Xenopus tropicalis: one gene and its partner. The protein of the gene in region 1 purifies or fractionates together with the protein of each later gene. This does not show direct contact. Links are inferred from orthologs where the notes say so. Each region holds a gene or a part of one and is shown on either strand. Other genes may lie near its edges.

Evidence for each region. Proteins that work in one complex are often made in the same cells at the same time.
Region 2: the proteins of ksr2 (region 1) and ywhae purify together in Homo sapiens (affinity purification with mass spectrometry; 3 studies listed by BioGRID and IntAct, with this or other methods). This does not show direct contact. The link is inferred for Xenopus tropicalis from reciprocal best matches to the Homo sapiens genes KSR2 and YWHAE.

The regions. Positions count from the first base shown.
Region 1 is NC_030677.2:165,132,911-165,138,560, reverse strand, and holds part of ksr2 (kinase suppressor of Ras 2), read left to right. Parts: intron 1-1,322; coding exon 1,323-1,830; intron 1,831-5,650. UniProt on the Homo sapiens protein: Location-regulated scaffold connecting MEK to RAF. Has very low protein kinase activity and can phosphorylate MAP2K1 at several Ser and Thr residues with very low efficiency (in vitro).
Region 2 is NC_030678.2:46,048,415-46,053,562, forward strand, and holds part of ywhae (14-3-3 protein epsilon), read right to left. Parts: intron 4,576-5,148; coding exon 4,369-4,575; intron 3,990-4,368; coding exon 3,853-3,989; intron 2,716-3,852; coding exon of another isoform or gene 2,708-2,715; exon of another isoform or gene 2,674-2,707; intron 1-2,673. UniProt on the Homo sapiens protein: Adapter protein implicated in the regulation of a large spectrum of both general and specialized signaling pathways. Binds to a large number of partners, usually by recognition of a phosphoserine or phosphothreonine motif.

The DNA of each region.
Region 1 (5,650 bases):
AATCAGTTCACATGCAGACCTCTTAGCTGAGAAAGGCAACCACCCTTTTTGTTTGTTTGGCTACTGCCACGCACAAAAGAAATAAATAAATGCATGCCGAGGATCAGCCCCTATGCTTGCCTCAGCCAATTTGGCAGCCAAACTCTGACATAGACAATCTTATATTTAAGTCATATGAAGGAGTTTTAACTCCCCTAAAACATTGATGTACAGGTCATCACAATAAATCTGGTAGCTCCCTGCCTGCATGTTGTTAGTGTTGCTTGCATGAATATGTGTGGCTCCTTAAATATTTTCTCCTGGCAAAACATACCAGGGCCATGTGTATTGGTCGTAGAACCAAAGACAACAGACTGCAGTTTGAACTGTAATTGCTGTTCTACTCCTAAAGTCTCTGACCCTTTCTAAAGGCTACATTCATACAGGTACTGCTGTGCCTGAAATTCTCTCACCTGTGTACTGTACAAGTGTTGCTTTGTGAGAACCATAAAAAAGTAGTCCCTCCATGTATTAATCTATATAATGTTACTGTTTCTTTCCAGTGAGAAATAATATTCAACCATAAATTAAAGGAGAAGGAAAGGTAAAAACTAAATAAGCTTTATCAGAAAGGTCTATGTAAATACAGCCATAAACACTCACAGAAATGCTGCACTGACTTCTCTGTAAAAAGATTAGTTGTGTCTGTTTTCCTGTGCCACAGACACACAGCTTTCTGCTTCCTGCTCTCTCCTGCTCCCCCCTCCCTCAAGAATGCTAAGAACTCACTCCCCCCCCTTAGGAATGTGGATCTGAGCCAATCAGCAGGAAGCTGACTCATAGTCTAACTAACTAAGCATGTTCACTTGGTCCCGGTGTCTGTGCAGGAGCGAGGCATTATGGGAACTTTCTTTACACAACTCAGCATATTTTCTTCCTGTTTGGCTTTAGATCTTCTGAACAGGAGAAATATGGGGAGACTTAAGGGCACTATTAAGACAACTGAAAGTATGCCTGCAGCTTGAGATTAACTCTTTACTAGCCTTTCCTTCTCCTTTAAAGTGAATTAAATTAAAAAGTATTTCACATTTTGTTAAAGACAGCTGAAAGGGCATGCATGGTGTGTGTGAAAATGAAAATTAGGACTTCCAATGTCCATTGAAAATGCTCTTCAGGCTACAACTTGCACCAAATATGAAATAGCATTGGTCATTTGGGGACAATGTTCTCTTTCATTTTAGCTGTTCTGTGCTTTCTTGCAGTTGACTATGAATAATGATTTATATAGACAGTCTAACCACATTTGGATTTATCTCCCTCTCTGCTTACCTCTCTGATTATAGGAAGCAGCCTTTCAAAACAAGATTGGGCCATCCAGTGGCCAGCAACAGAATCAGGGAAGGAAAATAATCCTGTCACACAGCAGGAGACTGCCCAGTGGATACGAACCCACCTTTCCCAGAGCCCAAAAGTACAGTCTAAATGCATCCAGCACTACTGCCATTTGCCAGTGGCTCATGGGCCTATGTATACAAACGTTGATAGATTGACTGTTGAAGCCTACCCAGGCTTGTGCCAACTTTCTGAGACTGGGCATCGATCATTACCACCATCCCCGCGCCAGAGGCACACAGCACACAATAACCCACCACGAACACCTAACATAGTGACGACTATGACGCCTCCTGGTACACCCCCCGTAAGAAGAAAGAACAAACTTAAACCCCCAGGCACCCCTCCTCCTTCATCCCGAAAACTCATTCACCTCATACCTGGATTCACATCTCTGCATCGAAGCAAGTCCCATGAGTTCCAAGTAGGGCATCGAGTGGATGAATCTCATACTCCCAAGTAAGTCAAAGGTTATCTTATGTCTACATACCGAAGCATGATACTGAAATCATCTATCCCTCATACATAATAAAAGGCACTAAGTTTGTCAAGGAGCAGTAACCCATAGCAACCAATAAGATGTTTGCTTTTAAACATGTGACCAATAATTTTTAACTGCTGATTGGTTGCAATGGGTTACTGCTCCTGGACAAACTTAGTGCCTTTTTTTGCATAACCTCTTAAGCCTTGTTAGGACATGTTTAGTCGTCAAATAGTTGCAGTAATAGCTTTAAAATGCATTGGACCTAATTGTCAGAGGCCCCTGAAGTGCTTATTGTCCTGCTGTGTGTGTTTGTCTTAATAATAACCATTTTTAAAAGTATAATTTGATTCCATAAGAAGAATAGATGCTATAACATTATTATTAAACAATGGTATGTTCCTGTGTCCAAGCTCGGACAAAAACTATATTTTACAAGTTATTGCTGTTTCCAGTGAATCTTTGCCATTTCTTTTCACAACTAAAAATAAGTGTAATATATGTAAATGCAGTTGGATGATGCTCTCTCTATATATATACAGTATATATAGAAACTATATAATAATGTTCTGATGACATGAAGTTTTGTTGTAAAAATATGTTCATACACGTGCATACATACACATACAAACACACAAAGAGAGCTTTTAGTACTGCAGATATGTAGCTCAGATTTCCGGTTCATGTTGTGGATGGTCTCCATGAACAACAGATACAGCAGTGATGCCCTTTCATGTGAACTGGAGACCCGAGTATCCCAGCAAGCAGATGGGCTTCAGAATCATGAATTAATTTAAAAAATGATAAGCGGAGATGGGTAGGGAAAACAGGACCCCTTGTTCTGCAGCATAATGTAAACTCTGCTTCCTGGTCCTTGATTTAATATACAAATTGTCTGCTGTTTTGGAACATTTTTTCTGTTGTTAACCCTTAGGCCACATGTATAGATGTTAAAATTATAGTAAACTGTCTTATTTGTGCTTTTCAGTACCGATTTCATACCCAGGATTTTCTAGATATGGGGTGTTTTAAATCCTGCTTTTGAGCAATAACTCTCAAAGAAATCTTGCCTGTGTTCAGAAGCAGTGTATTTATAGGGGGTGGGGAGAGGCACATAGACATCACCCCTCCCAGTCCCTAACCATCCCCTAACTTGTGAGCCTGAATTAATTTCTTAAAAATGATTTCCTTTTTCTCTGTAATAATAAAACAATACCTTGTACTTGATCCCAACTAAAATACAACTTGGAGGCAAAGCATTCCTGTTGGGCTTAATTAATGTTTAAATGATTTTTCAGTAGACTTATGGTTCAGAGTTCCAAATTATGGTACGGCCCCTTATCTAGAAAACCCTAGGCCCCATGGACTCTGGAAAACAGGTCCCATACCTGTATAAGAATTCTGGGAACTACTTTCCTAACTCAAAGCATTATTTCATATATAAGTTTTAGAATGTTTTCAATGTACTTTAACTGTTCCATTTGATAAAATATAATGACCTTTTGACAAAAATATAACTTTTTAGTTACTAATTATTTGTGTGCATAGTTGATTTATAGAAATGTTATGGGTGATAAAACCAGAACATAAAAACAAAGTGAGCCCATGCCAGTAGCTGAATGAGAAGTTATAATGCGCTTAAGACACAGTCATTTATGCCCCACTGAGATTTTCTGTTATTAGAAGATGATTAATGTTATCAGAATCATTAACTAGGTACTGTATAGTTAACCTCAACAGGAAGCCCATCAGGAAATTCATGTCTCAATTTCTTTTCATTGACTACTAAAAGAGTAATAGATTTGTTATCCAGAGAGAAGGCTAAAGCGAGTAATCACTGGAGGTTCAAGAGGTTGACTTTTGTCTAGTACCAAAATACTCCATAAAAAATGTTATATTAAACAAATAATAAATACATGTAAATTGGTTTCTAATGGACATGTTTAGTTTTGCTGCATTCATTTTCCATCATCTAATAAGAAAAGGGTTTTAGTTTATTACTCGACAAAAACACCTACAGGAAACAAATAAGTTCAGAATGCATGTAAGAAATTGTTTTCCTATTAATCTCAAAAACCAATTAATCAACATTTATAAAGAGCAAAGGTAAACAGAATAACAAGCACTCGCAAGCTGTCTGAAACACAGGAGGCTGGTCAATGGCACTTCTTAGAAAACAGATACACAGCTAATTCTGTATCAGTGCTAATAAATTAATTCTAGGGAATCATATTATTAGTGGTCCAGGAAAAAAGACAGAACATAATGATTCATCAGTTTTCTACCGTTAATTAATTTTTTCAGCTATTTAAAAAATGGGCAAATGTAATAAAATGTGCAAAGTTTGCTTGTAGTCTAATCACCTATAGTTACAAATTGGCAGGAAGCATTTAGTGGCCAATGTGGCATAGTTCTAGTGACATGACTCCCTATCGGCAGATCCTGCGACTGCAGTGGTAACAGGGTTGCCCAGAAAGGGCTCATATCTTTCCTTTCTGCCTTCACCCATGCTGTCTGATCAATTTACTATCAGATGTGGGAGGAAGGGGATTGCAATAACTTAACATTGTGGGGGGGGCTCAAAGCATTTTTTTTACTGGGAGAGGGGGAGGAGGCAGGTAAAGTTAAGTTATGCCACCAGTTATTGCACCTGGGGAAGCCAAATGCATTTAATTACATATGGGGAATATTACCTACTTAACAGTTAGCATTGGGTCAAGTGGAAACCTCAACTGGATTGGACCTTTTGTGGGGGTAAAGAATATTTATTTTTGATAGGGGGTTGATAACACCTGTGTAAAGTACATTTTATTAAAAGGCAAATTAGGAAGAAAAAAAAAAAATTATTGCATTACAGTCACAGTATCAGTAGTTATAAGATATTTAAGATACATTAAGAAATCCATAGTTAAGCATCATAGGAAAAATAATTAACCAATATTTTTATTTGTTCAAGAGCTACGTACAATGGATGTTTCTAAAAGATGAGGTAAAATCAGGGGCCAGCTTTATGGTGGAACATTGAGGGCATTAGCTCTGCACCTTTAGAAGGGCTCTAAAATAAATGCCTACAATTTTTAGTGTTCATGTAGAATTATCCAACCTGCAGCCATCCCACAACCACCACTCATAGAATTCCCCTGATAGCCTTTGGCCTGGGCTTAAGGTTGGACATTATTCATTTTTCATATTTTTTTATCAAGTGGATGGGATTCCATACTTTCTGATTTTCCTGGGGCCCCATCTTTTTTTTACACTGGCCCTGGTCACAAATGACAAAAAAAAAAGGTGATGACAGAGTAACAAAATTTTTCCAGTATGTTCCTATAAAAGCTATTTTACTGCCTGTTGTGCTGTAACCACATTAAATCAACTCCTTTTAGTTTCAGGCTAAACAAGCGCAATGGTGCTTGTCAAACTCTTTATTTGATTTAAGTGCTGTCTCATTACATTTTATTCTTTCATTTCGCCAGATATAGCTGCTGCAATGAGCAAACACGAATGCACAGTGGCAGACTGCGGCATCGGAGAAGCAGGGGGCCAGTGTAACCCTGCCATGTTTGTGTACTGAAGGCTGTCCCGTGACATTTGCCTCTCACATGGCTACATTATTTATGATAATTGGCATACCCATGCCATCTGTTTATTTGAAAATATTGTATTGCCATTATTGCAACATTATCAACCTCGGCTGTGCACATCACTGCATGTGGTAATTACCCTGCTTTCTTTGGAGGGGGTGAGTATCACCCTATAGAGTGTCATTTAGTAGACTGGCTGCACAGTTATTGCCTACTG
Region 2 (5,148 bases), on another chromosome or scaffold:
ATGAAATCACTTACCTTGTACCCCGGGCTGGTGCCCCTGTTAGGAAAAAAAAAAACAGCACCAGCCCGGGGTACCTGTAGCGAGCGCTTCGCCTTTTCACTCTACTGCGAATGCGTCGGCCCAGGGATTTTGCCACAGAAGAAAGCAGGAAGGAGGAAGCGCATCGCTCCAGGTACCCCGGGCTGGTGCTGTTTTCTCCTAACAGGGGCACCAGCCCGGGGTACAAGGTAAGCAATTTAAGTCACTTGGTGGTGCCTAACATTTTGGCACCCCAAGTGACTTAGCCTTTCCTTGTCCTTTAAGGCAGATGCGCAGAGAACACTGCCTGGCTAGACTATGCACTTGGGTCAATAAGAGGAATTCCATAATCTAGTCTGGGGATTGGCGCACACCGGGTGAACCCAAGGCAACTTTTGAGTAGTCTGTGCCTGCTCATTTATGGGAATAGACCCAAGTTGCATTTGTATTTTTCTATGTAATTAAGGTAACCAGCATGACTACTGCCCTTCACTGCCAGTGACCTTTATATCTATATTCAGGCAATAGCATACCAAGATTTAGAACCAGCCCTACTTGTTTAACAAATGGTTACTGCTGTTCTATTCTCCAAATACAATAACAGCACTGCTTAAAGGAACAGTAACACTTTTATACACTTTCATTTTTTAGTAACTAAAATATAATGTGCTGCTGCCCTGCACTGGTAAAAAATAGTAGAAAGTCTACTATAATTTATATAAATAAGCTGCTATGTAGCCATGGAGGCAGCCATTCAAAGGAGAAAAGGCACAGGCACATAGCAGATAACAGATAAAACACTATTGTATTCTACAGAACTTATCTGTTATCTGCTATGTAACCTGTGCCTTTTCTCCTTTTTCCAGCTTGAATGGCTGCCCCCGTGGCTACACAGCAGCTTATTATATAAATTATAGTAGTGTTACTGAAGCAAACACACCAGTCTTACCAGTGCAGGGCAACAGTGCATTATATTTTTATTACTTTAAAGCTCTTTCATTTTTTGGTGTTCCTGTTCCTTTAAAATCCCCATCAATCCTGCACAGCTCCCATGAATCCATTTTTACCTTGATATACCTGGGCAGCCAAGATCATTTAAGCTTATAGAAACATTTTCAGGGGCTTGTGATTAGCCAGCTGGGCACAATGATGTGGTTGGACTAGGGAGGTGGTCTGTGCCCCTTAGTATAGCAATTCAGTAACTACATATCGGACAGCTAGATAAAATTATATTTTGCATAAAAGAATATGAAGCCAGGTAAGCTTTGGGCCAAATCTTGTATGGAACCATCTGGCTGCCTTGATCTATAATAGCTTCTTTGCAGATCTCAGTAACCCTGAGACCTTTACTTCAACAATGTAAACTTTTTTATATTAGGTTAAAAATGCCTTGCAGTGGGCTGGGGGTACTATACAGGTATATACACACAAATACCCTTTTCTTTTTACAAATAACTGTTCCCACAGAATATACAGCGGTTGCTGGCAGGCATCAAATTCTAAATAAAAAGCCCACATGCGTGTTTAGATCACACACCTAAGATCTCCATGCACAGCTTTAATGTTACTTTCTAGAGAGAAGAGCTGTTAATTACACACATTACATAAAACAAATTAGGGACACTGATTCACATCACTATGCAAAAAAGCATTATTGATACAGAAATACACTGCAAACCAAGAACAATTTGAATTTTTTAGATTTTTCTATGATTCAAGAGAACAAACTGAACAGTAGGAAAGAGAAACTGAAACAAATAAACCAGTGCACTGTTAAGGCCAGTATGGCAGCAATCTGTGTATCACTGAGGAACGACTACCGACACCTCCCAGACTGTCTCTAACCTAAAGTTAAAGCCAGTTTAAGGGGCCTGGGAAAAAGTTCCTAACGAGTCAGAGGCAGACTATTATGGGTTTTATCTCAATCTGAGGAAAAATAATGTATATTTCTAAAGTTCAGATAGTATTTATGCACCCAACAGAACAAGTCCATGTCACAGAGAGGCATATTTCCCCTCCTTTCTGCTTATTTTTAAGTATTATTATTACTCTTAATGATGCTCTTCAGTAAAATGTGTTTAAAATGTGTTTTTTGGCACCAGAGAAGAGACTCTAGACTAGGGCAGTAATGGGGGTTTTCCAATTATGCGCTAGAGCATGAACCAGCATGAGTAATCACTTTAGCCTACACATTAGCAAGCTTCTGTAACCTCTAAGAGAGTCCTGTGGTATAACTGAATGAGTGAAGCAAAAACATATCTGTGTACAAGAACTGTTCCATGTAGGATAACTGTTGGAAAAAATATATAAAAACACAAAGGTTTCATCATGCAAGGAACTTCACTAGTTTAAAAAAATAAATAAAAATAATATGATTTGCAACCATCCAGCCGAAATATAATGCAGCCATTTAATCCTTTTTGTGCTCACTGGGCACAAGAGCAAATGAGTGGAACAAGTCACTGTCACACACCAAGGAATTGAACTGCACTGCTGGTACCACAGAAAGGAATGAAATGTAAACATTTTCAAGCACAGTAAAAGGGTTAAGTCTTCACCACAAACAGGTAAACACAGATGCACAGAGCACAATGTAAAATGCAGTGGTTATGATGGAAAACAAGGCAGACTATAGATGCATCTGGATTAACTTACAAAGAATATTTAGGAAATGAACCTGTGTTTCCTTTTAAGAATCTACACAGAAAGGATGGGGGGGACATGAAGGGTGAAAGTGATGTTAAAGCATGTATACGAATAAAAGCTAAAATGACTGACATATGAATTAAACTTCCAGATTTTTATATTCCCTATAACTTTTAACATGAATAACTCTAGTCACCTTTAGCACTGCCTAACAATACTTGCACTTATTTTACCTACAGACCCGACCACCTGCATTGTCCCATGTTTTCCCTGAGAAAAAAAGAAGGCACAAGTGTGGGACCTGTTATACAGTATGCTCTGGTCCTGGGTTTTTCTGGAGATCTTAGGTCAACTGAATTATTTAAACATTAAATAAACCTTCTGGGTTTTGGCCTTCTTGTAACATGCAGTAACGTATACATGTAAATATAGGGGTTCATTACTTAAGATACAGCACTGCAAGTGAAGCTACACAAAACAGTGCATATTATTTTGCACACAATATGAACCATTCATAATGCAGTGGAGCCCTATTTTTGTGTTTATTTAAGATGCCAAAAAAAAAAAAAAAAGGAAAAAAAAAATACCTGACAGATAAAACCTAGTAATTTGGGCTATGCTGAGCAGTAACTGGAATAATGTTAACCATGAATGAGTACTTGAATAGTAAACTATACAAATACTGGATAACAGTAAATTGTCAAGTATCAAAGCACAATGGGTTGTTCTCAGCTACGTTTATCTAAAAAAAAGTATGAAATATCCTACTTTATTTTATCCACAACAGGGCAGGAGCTGCAAGCAAGGCCTGTGAATAAATGCCTTGGAACAATGTTTTAAAGCCTAAGCTGATATGTTACATTATCTTATAACCGCTTTTGTGGGCACCAAATTGCACACAGTAGTATTTTTTTTTTTTTTTACAAATATGCACTCTTTTTCTAGGATAGGAGACGATCTTAATAAATCAAACCTTGTTTAGCCTGGAAATGTAAACTGTAGTTTTCAATAAAAGGCATGGGGAAAAAAAGGTGCAAAAAGTGTTTTCTATTTTAGTCAATAAACCTGCTATAAAAGTCTGGGACTTGAAAAGATCAGAAAGGGGTCACTGATGTGGCATAATATGCAAGAAAGGACACAACCAGGCTTATAAAGCTATTTTCTGTAAAATAAGCAAATTGTACATACCATCACCTTGCATATCTGAAGTCCATAGTGTCAGATTATCACGTAACAATTGCATGATAAGTGTGGAGTCTTTGTAACTTTCTTCACTCAGTGTGTCCAGTTCTGCAATGGCATCATCAAATGCTGCTTTTGCCAACCTTTAAAACAAAGTACTATTAGCTTAAGCAAGCCCTCTCTTTTATGTTAATATCGTTATACAAAAAGACTTTCTAAAATAGAAGACTTACTGCTCAGAAGAACTTTCAACCATAACTGAGCACTTTAGAGTTTATCCTAGATGGTCCCTCACACTGTAGTCTTCAAGGCAGCCAACACCTACTGATCTTGAGTTATTATAACCATGGGAAAAGTAGCACAGTAAGAGCCACGGTATCCCTTCCTCCTAGTATCACCTCTTCTATCCCACTCCCTTCTGCTCTGCATTACAACTTACAGTTCTATTTTACTGTAGGCACAGATTAAAGCAATACATTAGATTGCCCTTTATACTGTACTGTTTTACACTGAAACACTCACCTGCAGGCACGGTCAGGGGAATTTAGAATTTCATAGTAGAACACAGAGAAATTAAGTGCAAGACCTAAACGAATTGGATGTGTTGGAGGAAGTTCTGTCATTGCAATATCACTTGCAGCTTTGTAAGCTACCAAGCTGTTCTCTGCAGCCTCCTTTCGGTCATTGCCTTGAGCAAACTCTGCCAGATATCGGTGATAGTCACCTTTCCTGTGAAAAGAAAAAAGCAAGAAAGGTAAAACTATGCAACAAAGCAATCTTATTTAATAATTATTTTACATTTAAAATATTAAATATATATAATGAGACAACAGTCCTGTTCAACATACAGGATATTAAGCTATGCTTGTCCCCAGTTTTTCTCTCTAGTCAAGACAATAGTTTAGGGTCAAGACACCAAAAAGTACCCCATTTCTTAGATTTTATGATAAGACTGCAACTTTTTTTTTTTTGCAGCCCATATTCCACCCTATCTTCCATTTACTTTCTATCAGGTCTAATTTTAGCTGTTAAAATCTGTGCCATATGGGTGCAAACAGGATTAAATGAAAATTAAATTAAAATCAGGAAAGAAATGGTATAGGAGAAATGAAGCCCAAAAACAATTGATGGTTCTCTAAATAGTAAAAATACAAAGGTTTCAGGAAAACTATTGCAGTTACAATTATAGGCTTTACGATGAATTGGATCTCGGTGACTGGATAGTTGGAATCAAGCACGGAGCATGCACTCCTATGTAATCACACTTTAGGTGCAAGATTCAAAAACGGAATAAAAAAAATT